Saccharomyces cerevisiae S288C: one gene and its partners. The main gene of each other region encodes a partner of the protein of the gene in region 3 in a complex. Each region holds a gene or a part of one and is shown on either strand. Other genes may lie near its edges. The genes, in order: SEM1, RPN8, RPN3 and RPN12. A codon is read from its position in the direction of its gene.

What was found.
Region 1: the proteins of RPN3 (region 3) and SEM1 are in contact, whole or in part, in a cryo-EM structure (PDB 6FVW), measured with the Saccharomyces cerevisiae proteins. Residues at the interface, in NP_010938.1 of Saccharomyces cerevisiae: Arg51 (codon at 2,385), Tyr52 (codon at 2,388), Arg55 (codon at 2,397), Ser56 (codon at 2,400), Lys58 (codon at 2,406), Asp59 (codon at 2,409), Lys182 (codon at 2,778), Phe185 (codon at 2,787), Tyr186 (codon at 2,790), Leu189 (codon at 2,799), Glu192 (codon at 2,808), Thr193 (codon at 2,811), Arg196 (codon at 2,820), Asn235 (codon at 2,937), Leu236 (codon at 2,940), Arg239 (codon at 2,949), Asn243 (codon at 2,961), Ser265 (codon at 3,027), Ser266 (codon at 3,030), Ser267 (codon at 3,033), Ala270 (codon at 3,042), Arg271 (codon at 3,045), Phe274 (codon at 3,054), Tyr275 (codon at 3,057), Ile297 (codon at 3,123), Arg298 (codon at 3,126), Lys299 (codon at 3,129), Ala300 (codon at 3,132), Pro301 (codon at 3,135), His302 (codon at 3,138); in NP_010651.3 of Saccharomyces cerevisiae: Met1 (codon at 1,478), Ser2 (codon at 1,475), Thr3 (codon at 1,472), Asp4 (codon at 1,469), Val5 (codon at 1,466), Ala6 (codon at 1,463), Gln9 (codon at 1,454), Ala10 (codon at 1,451), Lys13 (codon at 1,442), Asp15 (codon at 1,436), Thr17 (codon at 1,430), Lys18 (codon at 1,427), Lys19 (codon at 1,424), Lys20 (codon at 1,421), Asn21 (codon at 1,418), Glu22 (codon at 1,415), Glu23 (codon at 1,412), Ile24 (codon at 1,409), Asn25 (codon at 1,406), Lys26 (codon at 1,403), Lys27 (codon at 1,400), Ser28 (codon at 1,397), Leu29 (codon at 1,394), Glu30 (codon at 1,391), Glu31 (codon at 1,388), Asp32 (codon at 1,385), Asp33 (codon at 1,382), Glu34 (codon at 1,379), Phe35 (codon at 1,376), Asp37 (codon at 1,370).
Region 2: the proteins of RPN3 (region 3) and RPN8 are in contact, whole or in part, in a cryo-EM structure (PDB 5MPE), measured with the Saccharomyces cerevisiae proteins. Residues at the interface, in NP_010938.1 of Saccharomyces cerevisiae: Tyr452 (codon at 3,588), Asp453 (codon at 3,591), Ser454 (codon at 3,594), Glu455 (codon at 3,597), Gln458 (codon at 3,606), Phe461 (codon at 3,615), Arg464 (codon at 3,624), Ile465 (codon at 3,627), Ala468 (codon at 3,636), Asn469 (codon at 3,639), His472 (codon at 3,648), Tyr475 (codon at 3,657), Ser478 (codon at 3,666), Met479 (codon at 3,669), Arg480 (codon at 3,672), Pro482 (codon at 3,678), Glu483 (codon at 3,681), Lys486 (codon at 3,690), Thr487 (codon at 3,693), Asn490 (codon at 3,702), Glu491 (codon at 3,705), Lys492 (codon at 3,708); in NP_014904.3 of Saccharomyces cerevisiae: Val249 (codon at 3,359), Asn251 (codon at 3,365), His252 (codon at 3,368), Asp253 (codon at 3,371), Ile255 (codon at 3,377), Asn256 (codon at 3,380), Asn259 (codon at 3,389), Gln262 (codon at 3,398), Lys263 (codon at 3,401), Leu265 (codon at 3,407), Thr266 (codon at 3,410), Thr269 (codon at 3,419), Asn270 (codon at 3,422), Glu272 (codon at 3,428), Leu273 (codon at 3,431), Ile276 (codon at 3,440), Tyr277 (codon at 3,443), Asn280 (codon at 3,452), Arg283 (codon at 3,461), Ser284 (codon at 3,464), Ile286 (codon at 3,470), Ala287 (codon at 3,473), Asp289 (codon at 3,479), Asp290 (codon at 3,482), Glu293 (codon at 3,491).
Region 4: the proteins of RPN3 (region 3) and RPN12 are in contact, whole or in part, in a cryo-EM structure (PDB 3JCP), measured with the Saccharomyces cerevisiae proteins. Residues at the interface, in NP_010938.1 of Saccharomyces cerevisiae: Ser198 (codon at 2,826), Glu199 (codon at 2,829), Glu200 (codon at 2,832), Ile201 (codon at 2,835), Asn202 (codon at 2,838), Ser203 (codon at 2,841), Asp204 (codon at 2,844), Asn205 (codon at 2,847), Ile208 (codon at 2,856), Asn244 (codon at 2,964), Gly245 (codon at 2,967), Glu246 (codon at 2,970), Asp248 (codon at 2,976), Ile282 (codon at 3,078), Gln283 (codon at 3,081), Leu284 (codon at 3,084), Lys368 (codon at 3,336), Asp375 (codon at 3,357), Tyr377 (codon at 3,363), Val381 (codon at 3,375), Arg382 (codon at 3,378), Ser385 (codon at 3,387), Asn386 (codon at 3,390), Lys389 (codon at 3,399), Thr418 (codon at 3,486), Glu420 (codon at 3,492), Tyr421 (codon at 3,495), Met422 (codon at 3,498), Val423 (codon at 3,501), Ser424 (codon at 3,504); in NP_116710.1 of Saccharomyces cerevisiae: Asp43 (codon at 2,860), Leu44 (codon at 2,863), Ser45 (codon at 2,866), Ile46 (codon at 2,869), Ser91 (codon at 3,004), Asn92 (codon at 3,007), Asn93 (codon at 3,010), Leu96 (codon at 3,019), Thr119 (codon at 3,088), Thr120 (codon at 3,091), Lys121 (codon at 3,094), His123 (codon at 3,100), Ser124 (codon at 3,103), Glu125 (codon at 3,106), Gln127 (codon at 3,112), Tyr128 (codon at 3,115), Leu129 (codon at 3,118), Asp130 (codon at 3,121), His132 (codon at 3,127), Ile133 (codon at 3,130), Glu137 (codon at 3,142), Arg150 (codon at 3,181), Leu152 (codon at 3,187), Met153 (codon at 3,190), Glu154 (codon at 3,193), Gly155 (codon at 3,196), Ser156 (codon at 3,199), Tyr157 (codon at 3,202), Gln158 (codon at 3,205), Glu188 (codon at 3,295).

Annotation. Positions count from the first base shown.
Region 1 is NC_001136.10:1,199,708-1,203,605, reverse strand, and holds SEM1 (proteasome regulatory particle lid subunit SEM1), read right to left. Parts: upstream 1,479-3,898; coding exon 1,209-1,478; downstream 1-1,208. Other genes in the region: CDC40 (Cdc40p), read left to right, coding at 1-763; ESC2 (Esc2p), read right to left, coding at 3,053-3,898. UniProt on the Saccharomyces cerevisiae protein: Versatile protein that might stabilize multiple protein complexes involved in diverse pathways. Subunit of the 26S proteasome which plays a role in ubiquitin-dependent proteolysis.
Region 2 is NC_001147.6:814,563-819,545, reverse strand, and holds RPN8 (proteasome regulatory particle lid subunit RPN8), read left to right. Parts: upstream 1-2,614; coding exon 2,615-3,631; downstream 3,632-4,983. Other genes in the region: DSE3 (Dse3p), read right to left, coding at 1-680; GTPase GPN2, read right to left, coding at 1,211-2,254; GCD1 (translation initiation factor eIF2B subunit gamma), read right to left, coding at 3,826-4,983. UniProt on the Saccharomyces cerevisiae protein: Acts as a regulatory subunit of the 26S proteasome which is involved in the ATP-dependent degradation of ubiquitinated proteins.
Region 3 is NC_001137.3:194,714-199,019, forward strand, and holds RPN3 (proteasome regulatory particle lid subunit RPN3), read left to right. Parts: upstream 1-2,234; coding exon 2,235-3,806; downstream 3,807-4,306. Other genes in the region: GPA2 (guanine nucleotide-binding protein subunit alpha), read left to right, coding at 455-1,804; SRB4 (Srb4p), read left to right, coding at 4,099-4,306. UniProt on the Saccharomyces cerevisiae protein: Acts as a regulatory subunit of the 26S proteasome which is involved in the ATP-dependent degradation of ubiquitinated proteins.
Region 4 is NC_001138.5:249,772-254,431, forward strand, and holds RPN12 (proteasome regulatory particle lid subunit RPN12), read left to right. Parts: upstream 1-2,733; coding exon 2,734-3,558; downstream 3,559-4,660. Other genes in the region: PRE4 (proteasome core particle subunit beta 7), read right to left, coding at 1-95; RET2 (coatomer subunit delta), read right to left, coding at 392-2,032; HXK1 (hexokinase 1), read right to left, coding at 3,821-4,660. UniProt on the Saccharomyces cerevisiae protein: Acts as a regulatory subunit of the 26S proteasome which is involved in the ATP-dependent degradation of ubiquitinated proteins. Necessary for activation of the CDC28 kinase.

The DNA of each region.
Region 1 (3,898 bases), on a different chromosome or scaffold from region 3:
TCAAGGTCATAACAAGCCTATTAAAGCATTACGATTCACCGAAGACTGTCAATCTTTTTTGAGCTCTTCCTTTGATAGAAGCGTTAAAATTTGGGATACTGAAACTGGTAAAGTGAAAACCAGGTTGCACCTTAATTCAACGCCTGCAGATGTTGAATCTCGGCCCACTAACCCACATGAGTTCATTGTAGGTTTATCGAATTCGAAAATATTACATTATGATGATCGTGTTTCAGAAAATCAAGGTCTTGTGCAGACATATGATCATCACCTAAGTAGCATTCTGGCTCTCAAGTATTTTCCCGATGGTTCGAAGTTTATTTCTTCTTCAGAGGATAAGACGGTAAGAATTTGGGAAAATCAGATCAATGTACCAATAAAACAAATAAGTGACACGGCTCAACATTCTATGCCATTTTTAAATGTACATCCGTCTCAGAACTATTTCTGTGCACAAAGCATGGATAATAGAATATATTCTTTCAGTTTGAAACCCAAATATAAGAGGCATCCAAAAAAGATATTTAAAGGGCATTCATCTGCTGGTTATGGGATAAGCTTGGCTTTTTCTGGTGATGGTCGTTACATATGTTCAGGCGATTCAAAAAGCAGACTATTTACTTGGGATTGGAATACGTCGCGCTTATTAAATAACATCAAGATTCCAGGCAACAAGCCTATAACTCAAGTGGACTGGCATCCTCAAGAAACAAGTAAAGTCATTTGCAGCGGAGCGGCAGGTAAGATATATGTATGTGACTAGCTATTCACTCGGAATGTTACTTGAAACAAATTAAATGGTTACATGGATGTGATTTGTTACTTAATTGTTATTACGGATGATATTATTATGATAGTAAAAATGACAATAATAAAGAAACGATTGGGGTTACCTGAAATTGCAAGTACTAGTTCGAGGACACATTTGCATCATATGGTAGAAAGAGCGGATCTTAATATAGTTAATTTTTTAAACTGAGACTGCATTTAAAGAAATGAGAAATCTCAGCTGAGTTATTTAATACTTTGCGTGCATCATTATTATACTACAAGGCCATATAATCGACTACCGCATAGCCTTTCGTATCTCTTTTTATTATTTATTTTATCATCTAAGCAAAATATACTAGTATGACAACAATGTACTAAAGTAACATTAGACGTATAATTTCCTTTTGCGTTATTTAGAAATAATGTTATGTAGCCCCTCACTGATTTTCCCGTTTGTATCTATCCAATTCGGCCTTCAATTCATTGGTGAAATCGTCGTCAACTTCAACATCATCCCAGTTTTCTTCCCATATGTTTGTTTGCGTTACAGCATTGCTTTTTATTGTTTCACCATTGGCCCATGTGTCAATGGGGAAATCTTCAAATTCATCGTCTTCCTCTAGAGACTTCTTATTTATTTCCTCATTTTTTTTTTTTGTTAAATCTATTTTACTTTGGGCTTGTGCAGCAGCAACGTCCGTACTCATATTTTTGCGTATTTGTACTATTATTCGACTTTTATTGCCACTCTATTCACTTTATGCATAGGTAGGTTTCCATTAGGACTTTAAAAGGTAACGCCCACCACGTTCGCCACCCATAGCACTAGTTTCGTAAATAATGATAATATAATGGATCCGACAGAACTAAGAAGCTTTCAGCCCTTCAAAATCCCTACTAGTAGGTTACAAAGACATGAGGAAATGTTGATATAATTTTTATTGTTTTCTTTAGAAGGTTAGTTTTAAACACAAACCCGAAAAAAAATTTATAACATTTTGAATGTGTTATTAGCCCTGTAGGGGGCTCGAACCCCTAACCTTATGATTAAGAGTCATACGCGCTACCGATTGCGCCAACAAGGCTATTTATTTGTGACCTTTTAAAGGTTAAAAAGGGATAATACATATAATTTCTCAATATCAAGATGCATCATCATGTATTAAACTGAGAAATAAGTGAATTCTATGAATATTGAGATAGGGTTGGGATTGCATTGTTGGAAAACAATATTTGGTTATCAATTCTTGCTTTTCAACTTCTACTAAAAATGGTAACTGCTTGTCAATCTTTATGTCAACTTCTTAGGTTGTATATGATAGTTTACTAATAATATGAACGTTAGTCGGGTATATGATGGTTGATTCTTATTCCAACAATATCAAACACATCAGTAATTTTCAATCACTTTAAAATATATTGATATAAACCTTTTTTCCATATAAATGTATTCACATTTTTTGCATCCATGATCACTGTTGGTAAAGTACGCCCTATTTATAGAAATACGTAAATAAGGAGCAATCGATAAAGCATGTAGACCAATATAGTGTTGAGATATTTGTCGGATCCCATCTTGGTGTAAGTAATAGTACTATGTGTAACAATAGTGGGTGAAAGCCATTCTTGATGGTTTAGAGTTCAAAAAAGAAAATCAACAATTCTGCACAGTACCATATTTATTATTTTTCTTCGTTTTCACCTAATCACTCATTGATGCAGTTACACTACCAATTCTTGCCCTTCAAATCACCTTAAAGGATGATGGCTTGAATTTTATTTTCTGCTGATCTCGTAATTTATACAACCTTTTAGCGTTGATATCATAATATTATGATGAAACGAATTATTTTAATTGACTGCTGTAGCAACAATAGAGAAGTAGTTTACCTCTTGTTCCAAGAAAACTATAGCCGAGGAAATATCAAATTGTTTTGATAGTTGTTCTACGTTAGATGTACTATTCAAACCTAGCACGAAAAAGCTGAAGAGATTTTTGTATTCATTAGGCGATCAAATTTTTATAGAAAAGCGTTAACATGTTGAGTTAGAGATGGAAAAATTCCTTTATAATATTTCACGGAAGGTAGAAGAGGGTCAGCACCTACTTTTTGAACAGAGAATTACCCGAGTATGATTTAAACACAAAAGGTCTTATTCAATTATATTCAGAAAATATTTTACAAGTACCGCAAGCACCACCAACACACCCGCCGCCCATAGTAAATAATAATTGTGGCACGTAAAGAGCCGGAGTTCGGCCTTTTTTAGCAAATTGCGCTCAATCAATAATGACATCAACCATGTCTTCATCTTCCATATCCTGATCGGCTATACACTCATTCATGTCCAATTCATCATGATCAAAAAGTAATTTAACCCTCGTCTTTTGTGGTAACTGTTTCTGGATTCTGTAATATTCGGCAATTTTAGAAAATGGTGTTGAACGCCTAACATGGACATAGATTTTTTTGTTATCTTGACCCATGAGAGCGATTCTCATAACTTCTTCCATGCTACTACTATTTCCTGACAAAGAGCCACCCTCTTGCAGAAGTTTTGTATTCATAACTGTATCATTTTCTTTTATTTCTTGTGTTTCTTCTACGTTTTTTAATTCGGATTCAAACTCGCGATATTCGGACTCTTCTTGTTCATTTCTCTTTTTCTCTAACTTCCTTTCCATCTCCTGACGTTCTTTTATGAGTAAAGCAGCTTCTTCTTCCTTTAACTTTGATTCCAGTGTCGCTTCAAAGTTCTTTTCGTATTCTTTGGATACGATAGTAACATCGATATCAGAGACTTCATTTTCAAAATCCTGTGGGATATGTAGCGAATTACAAGTCATAAAAGTGAGTAATTTTGCATTGTTCCAATAAAGAGTAACATTCTCTACCTTGTATATATCTTTCATTACCTTCGGAATTTTATAGGACTTCATCAATCCGTCCAAAGCAGCAGGAAGTATTTTTGAAAATTCGTATTTTCCGAGGACCTTCACTTGGACCGCTTTATTTATAGTTCCTTCTAGCTTAGAGAGAAATTTGATGTTATAAACTCGCTTCCGCTGGTCGGGTGTCGATTCTTTAGAAATAGTGGTGCTTTTTTTGGCTTCTTTAGCAAGTTC
Region 2 (4,983 bases), on a different chromosome or scaffold from region 3:
ATTTCTGAATTTAGGGCAGTAGAATCGCTTGTAGAAACGTTTTCATAGGCTGATAGAATTTCGTCAAACAATATTTCACTACCGCTTTTGCCATACTTATTTTTTCTACAGCAATCTTGTGTCTGTGTTTGCATTAGGGAGACCGGATTAATAGGAGTAAGGGCTTTTACAGGCATTACAATTGGGGCCGGGCGAGAGACAAACACTTTATCAATAATATGATCCGAATGTGTCTTATGCCCTAAAGATTGTACTACTGCAGGCTTTGACAGCGTCGGCCTACGTAAACTTTTTCTTTGAATTGGTAGTGATTTTACCTTCTTTCTTTCTCGTAATGGTAGAATCGTGCTTTGAGGACAAACTGGTCCCTTGGGAACTTGCATGTCAGTAAATTTTTTCTCTCTAATCACCTCAAGTTGGGAGCGTGGCCTCTTCTTGAAATCATGTAAGAACAATTCTGGAACAGACTCTAACCGTTTCTTCAGTTTCAGTGTACCCCCAAATCTTTTAGACAACCTGTTACCACCGTTGCTGGTACGTAAAACCTTATCATCTTCATCTTCAAAATCTTGTGGTATCGGTGGAATATACTTCAAGTCATCAGCTGTTAATGTTAGCGAAGATGGTCTGACTGCATCAACATTCTTTTCAATTTTATTGCCCAAAAACTTTCTTGGCATTACTAAGTTATTCTGTAGGATTTTTTTGCTATCCTGCCCTCACAATTATAAATGGTTCATTCATTTAATAAATCCTTTTGAATATGAAAACTTCATCAATATAGAGTAGCAAACCATTTTTACAACATTTTATATCACGATCTGCGCAAAAACCTTAGAATCCCCGCACAGCTGCCCAATGACAGATATAGGCAACGTTGTTGGTGCTAATCATTTTTAACTTGTTCTTTTTCCTCCTAGAAACCCATTGACAGTTTGCTGGTTATTTTTTTCTTCTTCCGCTTTTGCTGTCGCCGCGAATGAGTGAAGGCTGGTCAACCTGGTTAATTAGTAGCGCTGGCTTTCAGGGTACGAAAGCAATCATGTTCAGACATAGGGTTCTGTCCTTTGCAGCTGATTTGCAACTCGGCCAGCAATTCAAGAACATTTCGTAGTAAGCTGCTTTCAATTATATGCATATATACTCTGTATACAATTTTCAATTTTGAATTAAGTTCCACGGCTGAACGAGAAAAAGATACCTGAACACGCTACCTAACAAAATCCATTCCTTGTTTCTCTTCCCACTCCTTCAGCGCATTTTCCCACTCATCTTCTTCATTCACATCAACAGCTTTATTTTGCAATTCTTGTTCTTTTAACAACGCCGTACGTTTTTCTTCTTCTTCTTTATCATACTTCTCTTTATTGTCTATCCACCTGTCTTGAATGTCGTAATTCGCTATTAATGCACCTTCTCGCGAAGCCTCAGCCCACACGGTATCACCACCAACTTCGGATGCGCCGAATATGTAGCCATTTGCTTTATCTATAACACCTTGAAGATTTATCATACTTTCTTTGTCATCCACGGACAAAACCTCAAATGATACTAAGTTGAAATCTGAGACTAGCTCTTTGATTGTTTCAGTTAACTTGCTATATTTCTTTCCCAGTACACTAGAGCCTTCCTTTTCAATATATGGCTCCAAATAATCCAGATCCTGGACCTCTGTATAATAGTCTAATCTAAAGGGTAATTCTCCGTATGATTTCAGCATATCTATTTTAGAAAAAACGTTGATGTGAGGGAGATCCATCATTAACATAGACCTCAATGCAAGTAACAAAATCGAGATATATTGTGAAGGGGATGTCATGTAAAAACAGTCAATCAAATTTACAACACAAAACCTAATGTCCAATTCCTTTTCCATTTTTTTAAAGATGTTGAACAAAGATGAGTGATGAGTAAATAGCTCCACTTGGCCCGGACAGTCGAATACAAGATATGCTTTTTCTTCTTCTACAAGTGACTTGATCTGTAAAATGAACAAATCAATAGAATTATCCAATGATTCAACAGCATACATCAAACCTCCATTAGGGCCTAACTGTTGCTCTTGCATGATCTCCTCTAATGTTATAAAATCACGAATATCCACAGCGCATGGGTAAGGTAAGGCATCATTAGCAGGATCCATATTCACTACCTGGGAATGTCTTCCGATGGCATTGAAGAACTGTGAGCAGCCGTTGCAATAGGTTGACTTCCCTGAACCTGGTGGACCAATAACAATCTGAGCGAAGGGCATTATTGTACTCTCTAGTAGAAAATCAAAACTATTGACACAACAACAATCAAATGAAAACAAACCATTCTATTACGGTAAGTAGTGAAGACTCACAATGCAATCTTTCAATGAGCATCACTTACTTTAAGTAGCAATATTCCTAATCACTTATTACGAAATTTGATTTTACTAAAGTTCGGGGATACCTCAGTGGCAAATCGTTACTCAAGTTGCACGTAACGTAGAATCTACAATGAAATAATTGTGAAGCCAACAGCTAAGCAATCTATAGTGTAACGTTGGCTTTCTGTACAACTGCTACTGATTGAGGGCATTTTTCGAATTTAAAAAAAGAAAGAAAGAAAGGAAAATCAAATTACAATGTCTCTACAACACGAGAAAGTTACCATTGCACCACTAGTTTTGCTATCTGCTTTGGATCATTATGAGCGTACGCAGACAAAAGAAAACAAAAGATGCGTTGGTGTCATCTTAGGTGATGCTAACAGTTCCACTATCAGAGTCACTAATTCCTTTGCCTTACCGTTTGAAGAAGATGAGAAAAACTCTGACGTGTGGTTTTTAGACCATAATTATATTGAAAACATGAATGAAATGTGTAAAAAGATTAATGCCAAGGAAAAACTCATTGGATGGTATCATAGTGGTCCTAAATTAAGGGCTTCTGACCTCAAGATTAATGAGCTGTTTAAAAAATATACTCAGAATAATCCGCTATTATTAATTGTTGATGTCAAACAACAAGGTGTTGGTTTACCAACAGATGCATATGTCGCGATTGAGCAAGTTAAGGATGATGGTACGTCTACAGAAAAGACGTTTCTTCATTTGCCTTGTACTATTGAGGCCGAAGAAGCTGAAGAAATTGGTGTAGAACACTTATTGAGAGACGTACGTGATCAAGCAGCAGGTGGCTTATCTATCCGGTTGACCAACCAATTAAAATCTTTGAAAGGATTACAAAGCAAACTAAAAGACGTTGTCGAGTACTTAGACAAAGTCATTAATAAGGAATTACCGATAAACCACACTATATTGGGCAAGCTACAAGATGTTTTCAACCTTTTACCAAATCTGGGAACACCTGATGATGACGAAATAGATGTGGAGAATCATGACAGAATTAATATTTCAAATAACTTACAAAAGGCTTTAACTGTGAAAACTAATGATGAATTAATGGTTATATATATAAGCAATTTGGTTAGGTCAATTATCGCGTTTGATGATTTGATTGAAAACAAAATTCAAAATAAAAAAATTCAAGAACAAAGAGTAAAGGACAAACAATCAAAAGTCTCTGATGACAGTGAGAGTGAGAGTGGTGACAAAGAAGCAACTGCGCCATTGATCCAACGAAAGAACAAGAAAAATTAATTCAAAAATTAACATAACATAATATATGAAATAGATGTGTAAAACGCTATGTATTAATACAACATGTTAATTTGCTTAAGCATAATTATGTTCTGTTGAATTTCAAATATAAATGCATAATATCGCCTCTATTCTCGTCCACTTACTTACTTGGTCTCTATTAAAGAGACTGAAGGAATATACATAAGTTTATATTAACGCTCAAATAATCCGTCATCTTCGTACTCGTACTCGTCGGTATATTCACTATCATCAGAATCTTCATCGCTTCTATCATCACTGTCAGTTTCTTCGGCGATTTCACTTTCTCCAGCAATAACACTATCATCATATATTAACTCGTCCTCCTCATCTTCATCCAAATAAACGTTGGCCAGTGTTTCACCTTTAAAGTTATTTTTAGGCTCCACAACATAATGGCCTTCGATATAACAATTGCTGAGTTTACACTTTGAACCGATTTTTGCCATAGGTCCAATAATACAATTTTCCAGGATTACTTCGTCACCAAGATGGACTCCAGGAAATAAGAGAGACCCTGCAACACGACATCTGGAACCAATATTGGCCTGAGTACCGAGAACAGACATCTTGACATTACTATGAGCAGAGATTTGGCATTTGGGATCTACTATGGCATCAGCACCGATAGCGGCAGATTGAATCTGTATATTTTTCGTGAACATCGTTTGTGATTTTATCTTTAGTACAAATCTATTAGCGTCCATGTAAGCATTCAAGTTATTGGCTCTGATGAACAAGGTTTCGTTTGGTAAAATAAAAATACCTATTGGTTCCCTCGGTTTCGAATGTTGCCACGAACGACGAGATAAATCTCTAAAAACCTTACTCAATGATTTATTACAGTTTATTGGGTCCAAGATGAGATCATTCTTTTTTTTGAAGTAGGTAGGCTGGATAGATGTAGCCGAAGGTTTGTAATCATCGTCATCATCATGATTGCGATCTTCATCATCATCAGTAGTAGGAGGGTTTTGCTGTTGTTGGTTTCCAGTAAATGGATCTTTGAATGAAGCTTGTCTTGACATTGATTGAGGTCCTAATTTTAACAACTGGCAAAGTTCAAAGGAACAAAAGTAGATGAATGAGTTCAGTAACTTAGTGGATACTGTTAAATTTGGATAGTTCCATAATAAATGAGATCTGATCTGTAGATATTTTGTCTTTGTGACGTCCCTTTGAGAATAAACGTCCAAAAGTATTGGCTGCCTCTCTGAGTCTTCGTTTTCTGAATAAACAGTGAAAAATTGCTGTTGTTTTTGCTTTTGCTGTTGCTTTTTATCGATACTACTATCTAAAGAGTTCTTATAGTAGATAGTCATTGCTAGGTT
Region 3 (4,306 bases):
CAAAAGGCTAAGGAAACGGGTAACCCGTGGTACCCGGGGCAGAATCAAACTTATAATTACTAAAGATATACCATATATTACGATCCCTGCGCCCGGCGTGCTCCACATTAAGTAAATGTCTGGAGTAAAATGAAGTCCGCCAATTCAGTCACAAAACATGACTACTGCCTCGTTCGCGATTTCTTCTTCCCTTACTTCATCATGTTCAAGCCCCCTCAGCTGCGCCCAAATGATTCTTCTTATCCTCTTGCATACTGCACCGAAAAAAAAAGTTAATAAGCAGCAGGATTTATAGGCGCGTGCGTGCAGCCTTAGACTGAAGGGGTGGAAAAACTTTAGGTAGGTTTGGTTCTCACTACCCAAAGAGCAATCGATAGGTATAAAAGTGAGCAATTGCTATCACAGCGAGCCTTATTGTTACAGCACAAATCACGCGTATTTTCAAGCAAATATCATGGGTCTCTGCGCATCTTCAGAAAAGAACGGCAGCACTCCTGACACGCAGACCGCCAGCGCTGGTAGTGACAACGTTGGCAAAGCGAAGGTACCACCAAAGCAGGAGCCACAGAAGACTGTGAGAACAGTCAACACAGCAAATCAACAAGAAAAGCAACAACAGAGGCAGCAGCAGCCGTCTCCGCATAATGTTAAGGACCGCAAGGAGCAAAACGGGAGCATTAATAACGCGATATCTCCCACGGCTACGGCAAATACAAGCGGATCGCAACAGATCAATATCGACTCTGCCCTGAGAGACAGGTCGAGTAACGTTGCAGCACAACCATCATTGTCGGACGCTTCAAGTGGCAGCAACGACAAAGAACTGAAAGTGCTACTGCTGGGTGCCGGTGAAAGTGGTAAGTCCACGGTATTGCAGCAGTTGAAGATTTTACACCAGAACGGGTTTAGCGAGCAGGAAATTAAAGAGTACATCCCCTTGATCTATCAGAATCTATTGGAAATTGGCAGGAACCTCATCCAGGCGAGAACAAGGTTTAACGTCAACTTGGAACCGGAGTGTGAACTGACGCAACAAGACCTGTCGAGAACCATGTCCTATGAAATGCCCAATAACTACACGGGCCAATTCCCGGAAGATATCGCGGGCGTAATATCTACGTTGTGGGCCTTGCCCTCAACACAAGATTTAGTCAATGGGCCTAACGCATCGAAGTTCTATCTAATGGACTCGACTCCTTACTTCATGGAAAATTTCACCAGGATCACTTCGCCCAATTACAGACCCACCCAGCAGGACATATTAAGATCGAGACAGATGACGTCAGGGATTTTTGACACCGTCATTGATATGGGGTCGGATATCAAGATGCATATTTACGACGTGGGTGGACAGCGTTCCGAAAGAAAAAAATGGATACACTGCTTCGACAATGTCACTCTGGTCATATTTTGCGTTTCTCTATCGGAGTACGACCAGACGCTGATGGAGGACAAGAACCAGAACAGGTTTCAGGAATCGCTGGTGCTTTTCGATAATATTGTCAACAGTAGATGGTTCGCGCGCACGTCTGTCGTACTCTTTCTGAATAAAATCGACCTTTTTGCTGAAAAACTAAGCAAAGTGCCTATGGAAAATTACTTCCCAGACTACACCGGCGGGTCAGACATCAACAAGGCTGCTAAGTACATACTCTGGAGGTTTGTTCAGTTAAACAGGGCGAATCTAAGCATATATCCTCACGTGACACAGGCCACAGACACGTCGAATATAAGATTAGTATTTGCCGCCATCAAAGAAACAATTTTGGAAAATACATTGAAAGACTCTGGAGTGTTACAATGAATGCACAGCTAAAACAGAGACAAAACTGCATGCCTCTTCTCCCCTTTATTATCACCTTTAAAAAAGATAAAAAAAGAAACTGGAAAAAAGGTAAAAAAAAAAAAAAAATTAAATAAATACGAATACGTTTTCTCATGACCATTGTACTAGTAATCACAACCATGATACTTGAATAACTTTTCTGTTTTGTGCTGTATTAAGCACAACCGTTATTTTTTAATTTATAGCGTTATACCACTATATTATTGTAGTCATTATAGTTATTATCCCGGGTAACAAAAATTTCATTCCAACGAGGTAATAGTTCCACTTTTCAGGCAGGAGGACGAAAAACATTTGCCACCCAAGAAAGAGACAAAGCAGTAGGTAAGGCATTCATCACACAATTTGAAAGGGGGTATAGTAAAAAAAATTCAATTGAGCAAATAGAATGGCTAGCACTGCAGTAATGATGGACGTGGATTCTTCCGGGGTCAATGACTTGCACCATTCTGAGAAGAAATATGCGGAAGAAGATCAGGTTCAGGAACTATTGAAAGTTTTGAATGAGATCTCCAAGACCACTTTAACGCTGGACCCAAGATATATATGGAGGAGTTTAAAGGACTTGAGCTCTTTAAGGAACCAGGAGCTTTTGAATGCGGAAACTTTATGTTTCACAGTGAATGTGCTGTACCCTGATTCTTCTTCATTCAAGAAGAATCTGCTGAAGTTCATTACTTCTAACCATAAATCGTCCGTACCGGGGTCAGCTGAGCTTAGAAACTCATATCCAGCCTCTTTTTATTCCGTAAACACTGAGAAAAAGACCATTGAAGTGACAGCTGAAATTAATTGCTTCATGCATCTACTAGTCCAGTTGTTTTTATGGGACAGTAAAGAATTAGAACAATTGGTAGAGTTTAATAGGAAGGTTGTTATCCCAAATTTATTGTGTTATTACAATTTGCGTTCCTTGAATTTAATCAACGCTAAGTTATGGTTCTACATCTACTTGAGTCATGAAACGTTAGCGCGCAGCTCCGAGGAGATTAACAGCGACAACCAAAATATAATCTTAAGGTCCACGATGATGAAGTTTTTGAAAATCGCTTCCCTGAAGCACGACAACGAAACCAAAGCCATGCTGATTAACTTGATCTTGAGAGATTTTTTGAATAATGGCGAGGTTGATAGCGCGTCTGATTTCATTTCTAAACTAGAATATCCTCACACAGACGTTTCCAGTTCATTGGAGGCAAGATATTTCTTCTATTTATCGAAAATTAACGCCATTCAACTGGATTATTCCACTGCGAACGAGTACATTATTGCAGCCATAAGAAAAGCCCCACATAATTCCAAGAGTTTAGGGTTCTTACAGCAATCAAACAAACTGCATTGTTGTATTCAATTACTCATGGGTGATATTCCAGAATTATCATTTTTCCATCAATCAAATATGCAGAAATCTCTCCTTCCTTATTACCATTTGACCAAAGCCGTTAAATTAGGTGACTTGAAAAAATTCACATCTACAATCACAAAGTATAAGCAGTTGCTATTGAAGGATGACACCTATCAACTCTGTGTTAGATTAAGATCTAATGTTATCAAGACAGGTATCAGGATCATCTCCTTAACGTATAAAAAAATTTCATTAAGAGATATTTGTTTGAAACTGAATTTGGATTCGGAGCAAACTGTAGAATACATGGTTTCAAGGGCTATTAGAGATGGTGTTATTGAAGCCAAGATTAATCACGAGGATGGCTTTATCGAAACCACAGAATTACTAAACATTTATGATAGTGAAGATCCTCAGCAAGTATTTGATGAAAGAATCAAATTTGCCAACCAATTACATGATGAATACCTTGTTTCAATGAGGTACCCTGAGGATAAAAAGACTCAACAAAATGAGAAAAGTGAAAATGGTGAAAATGATGATGATACGCTAGATGGTGATTTGATGGATGACATGTCTGATATCTCGGATCTCGACGATTTGGGATTCTTATAAGGGCGCATAAAAAATAAATAACTACCATTCATAACAGAAATTCATTCGTATATACATAAAGTTCTCATAAACGTATATATATATATATATATATACTTATTGATATCAAAGTGTGTTACTTTCTACATTCATAGACGGGGAAGAAAAGTGAGGAAAAGTTGTTTTCTCTTGTGCACTGCAGCCCTTTGAAAAAGTAGAACTGCAGAAAAAATAACTGAACGTAAAGCATTATTTACTTTTCAAAGGCAAAAGAGATAGAGCCAAAAAAATTGTAAGCAGCTTAAAAGCCATAATGACAACGGAAGATCCAGATTCAAATCACTTAAGTTCCGAAACTGGCATTAAATTGGCATTGGACCCGAACTTAATTACATTGGCACTAAGTTCTAATCCAAACTCTAGCCTTCATTCACCAACGTCTGATGAACCCGTACCTGAATCTGCAGGAAAAGCAGATACTAGTATTCGACTAGAAGGTGATGAGTTAGAGAATAAAACTA
Region 4 (4,660 bases), on a different chromosome or scaffold from region 3:
ACCATGGGAGAGGCGCCTGCGTTCGCAATTTGTGTATTGTAAGCACCATAAGTAGAGTCTGCGGGCCTGCCCCAACTGAAAGGATCGTGATTCATTCGTGTGGGTTTTTATGTTGTTTTCGGCGGAAGATGAAGGATTCCTGCTGCTTATCCCCTTTCTTAACTTAGCTGTACTTTACTATGTGGGTACGTATTTAAGGTGGCAAATTCTAAACCAAGAAGCTGGAACATCTTTAATAAAAAGGATTGACGGGTAACCCTAAAAGGAAAAATAATAAAGAATAAGAGTAAGTTAAACTATATATATAGAAGGACGAAAGAAAAGATACCTCGATTTTTATTTATTTAGTTTGTGTATATAACTTAAGTATTTTATATGTGAATGTAACGTACTATTGGACAAGATATTCATCTGATTTCAAAGAGGTGATGACGTCGTAAGGGAGCTCTTGATCGTGGTCATTGGCCATGACAACAGATTGTATGGCCATACCGGTGAAACTCTTAGCTAATTTATCCCTCGTGGACTCTTGGAAGGAAACGGTCATTGGGTACAATGCATCTTCATATGGAGCTTCGATAGTGAATGCTAGCGCACCTGCATCGTTGGCAGCAATTTTGCTAATCTTAATGGAGGTTCCCATTTCTTGGTCCATGTTGACAACTTCAGCGTCAGAGCATGTAGAAGACTCTGTATTTATGTCTACTGGCTCCTGAGGGAAAACTGGAATGGTGAAGATCACATCAGCGAGTTCTGTTTCCAGGACGCTCTCATACTCAATAATGACATCAAAGCCCTGTTGTGATTCGGAGGGGGAAACCCATGTAGTTAGAGTTAATGGAATTAATGAGTCATCTTCTGCGGGAGCGACTTTACGCCATCTTAGAACACCCAGGCTTTGGTCGTTGGCTGGGAAAGCCTTAGATTTATCACGCAGGGAGATAAGTTTAGTGGATAGGAACGATTGTTTATCTATGTTTGGATGGGTCTTAAACTGGAAGGATTTATCGCGAACGTCAATAGAATCAGCTAGTTTTAGGTTCGAGTGAGATAAGTCATGGTCATTAATTCTTAGTTCTAAAACACCTTTCAATTCAGAAGAGTGAATGGTACCATCTCTGGAGAATTCTGCATTGATTACCTCCTTGATAGAGATCAAAATACCATTGTTCTCTGGGACATCCTCCTCCGGAGGAGGTGGAGTGCCAGAAGAGGCTGAAGAAATTGCACTTGGCCGTGGTGCGGCACCCGCTCTTCTTCCGGCACCACCACCCAATTTCATACCGCCAGTAGCAGAATGTCCCGCACGCTGAGACGTAGCCATTGGGGAGGCCACTGGGGCCACCTCAGCAGCAGCGGCATGGGAACTTTGTAGATAAGACTGTTGTGCTGCAGGAGAAGCATGGGAGTAGTAACTGTTGATGGCGTTTGTAACGTTAGGATCTTTACTTCCCATGAACCTATTGGCGCCGTCGTAATCGCCATTTGAAGACATAAACCCGTGTTTCCTTTCATGTTCTTTTCTAGCAATTTCCTTAGCACGGCGCTTCCTCTCCTCAGTAGCTTCGATCTCTTTATTACGCTCAATAATTTCCTGGATTCTTTCTTCGTGCGACTCCATAGACAAGTATGTTTGCACTTGAGTAAAGGACAAGTTCTCTTTGTACCCGCCCATTGACACGATTTCGTCGAACGAGGACAAGATCTCAAAGGCATTGTGAAAAATCTCTTGGTCTTGGAAACTAGACAAGTAGGAGTTGATCGTCTGTGAAAACAGATTTAATGTGGCCAAATCCTTGATAATATTGGACTGGCGGTTTGTGATAAGAATAATGTAGTAGTTATCAAAGGGCCTATACACGTAGCGGACGTGCTTGTCCTCGACAAATGTGTGGTCTGACGAGATCTCGGAGACTAGGTTCTGGAAATTGGACAGCAACTCTAGGACTCGATCCTTGGACAGATCTTTGAATTGCCTGGACAAGAGAGGTTTCCCCTGACGCGTAGTGATAGAAGCAGCCAAAACCACCATTGTGTATTTCTTTTGATGGAGCTATAGGTATTCTAATATGATCTATATTCGACGCTGAGGCTAATTGCCCTTGTTCTTGAGGTGTCAACAACCAGATTTTCTAATTTTTCGCTGGCTGTTGCTGGAAAAATGTAAACGCGCAGGGCGGGTAATAATAAAAGTTGAACTATGAAGAACAATAGAAACGCCAAGGTTTACTGACAGAGACATGTTTTAATTCAAGTGATGAGGCGGAAACGTGCAAGATCCTAAATGAAGGATAAAAAGAGTTCTTAAAAAGGGAAGTAAGGAATAACAGAGTAGAAAAACCGAAAAGACAACTTAACAAATCGGCAACACTTTTATGGGGCCCCGCTCGCCTGTGTGCAAGTAGTATTCGACCTGGAACACGCATTTACCACGAGAAGACAGCAATAGTCCGTACAACATTAATTAGTTTCGACAATTGCTCGCCTTTATAAGCCATGCTAGTGCCCAATCAAACACTTTACTTGCCCTGAAGTTCCTTTTTTCGCTAGCCTGTAACTTAAATAAGCCATCTAACCTTTTTTTTCTAAAAATTTTCTTTATTACCCTGTCGGCTTATTTTCTATTCTACACATTATTTGCCACCCATTGAAATTGTAGCTTGTATTAATAGGGAAAAGCCGGAAGTATAACCGGTGGAAAGTACTATTGAAGTGAGATAAGAAGCCATCGTAATGCCCTCGTTAGCCGAATTGACCAAGTCGTTAAGCATAGCCTTTGAAAACGGCGATTATGCCGCGTGTGAGAAGCTCTTGCCCCCTATCAAGATCGAACTTATCAAGAATAACCTTTTAATACCTGACTTATCCATTCAAAATGACATCTATTTGAATGATTTGATGATTACTAAAAGGATCCTGGAAGTAGGTGCCCTTGCTAGCATCCAAACTTTCAATTTTGACAGCTTCGAGAATTACTTCAACCAATTGAAGCCTTACTACTTTAGCAACAATCATAAATTATCTGAATCTGACAAGAAATCGAAGCTGATAAGTCTGTATTTGTTGAACTTATTGTCTCAGAATAACACAACCAAGTTTCACTCGGAATTGCAGTATCTAGATAAACATATCAAGAACTTGGAAGACGATTCACTTTTGTCTTACCCTATCAAACTAGACAGATGGCTCATGGAAGGGTCGTACCAGAAAGCATGGGATCTTCTGCAATCTGGGTCGCAGAATATATCAGAATTCGACTCTTTTACCGATATCCTAAAATCAGCTATAAGAGACGAAATTGCTAAAAATACCGAGCTATCCTACGACTTTCTCCCTCTCTCCAACATAAAGGCTTTGCTCTTTTTCAACAACGAAAAAGAAACTGAAAAATTTGCACTAGAGAGAAACTGGCCTATTGTCAACTCGAAAGTTTACTTCAATAACCAATCAAAGGAGAAAGCTGATTACGAAGATGAAATGATGCATGAAGAAGACCAAAAGACAAACATTATCGAAAAAGCAATGGATTATGCCATAAGTATTGAAAATATTGTGTAATATTTGTATATATAATATGTGCACAAAATTACTACAAAATAAACAACTTTTTCTCTCCCGGAGAACAAAGTAAGTGGAAAAAATTATACTAATAACAATCTAAAAATGTTTATTAGCTAGGATTATACACATAAATATATATATATGTGTGTGTCTATATTTACATATACTAGACCGCAAAAAAAACATAAGGGCATCACTCATAAGAATAATAATATTAAGGGAGGGAAAAACACATTTATATTTCATTACATTTTTTTCATTAAGCGCCAATGATACCAAGAGACTTACCTTCGGCAATTCTTTTTTCGGACAATGCAGCAATAACAGCAGCACCTGCACCTGAACCATCCTCAGCTGGAACAATCGTAATTGGATCTTTGCTTGCGTCACCAGTCCATCCATAGATATCTCTCAAACCCTTAGCGGCGGCTTCCTTGAAACCTGGGTATTTGTTATAGACAGAACCGTCAGCGGCAATGTGACCAGTCTTGTAACCTCTCTTTTGGCAAATAGCGGCAATACCACAAACAGCTAATCTAGCAGCTCTGGTACCGATCAATTCACAAAGTCTTCTAATCAACTTACGTTCTGGCAGAGTGGTCTTGACACCAAAGTCCTTTTGGAAGATGTCATCAGTATCTTCCAAGTTTTCAAATGGATCATCCTCGATTCTTGCTGGGTAGGAGGTATCCATGATGTATGGTTGTTTCAACTTGCTTAGATCTTGATCCTTCAACATCAAGCCCTTCTCGTTTAATTCAAGTAACACTAGACGCAACAATTCACCCAAGTAGTAACCGGAGGTCATCTTTTCAAAAGCTTGTTGACCAGGTCTTGGAGATTGTTCGTCGACAGCAACATCGTACTTGGTTCTTGGCAAGACCAAATGTTCATTATCGAAGGAACCATATTCACAATTGATAGCCATTGGAGAGTTACTTGGAATATCGTCTGCTAATTTGCCCTCCAACTTTTCGATATCGGAAACAACATCATAGAAAGCACCGTTGACACCAGTACCGAAAATCACACCCATCTTAGTCTCTGGGTCAGTGTAGTATGAGGCAATTAAAGTACCAACAGTATCATTAATCAATGC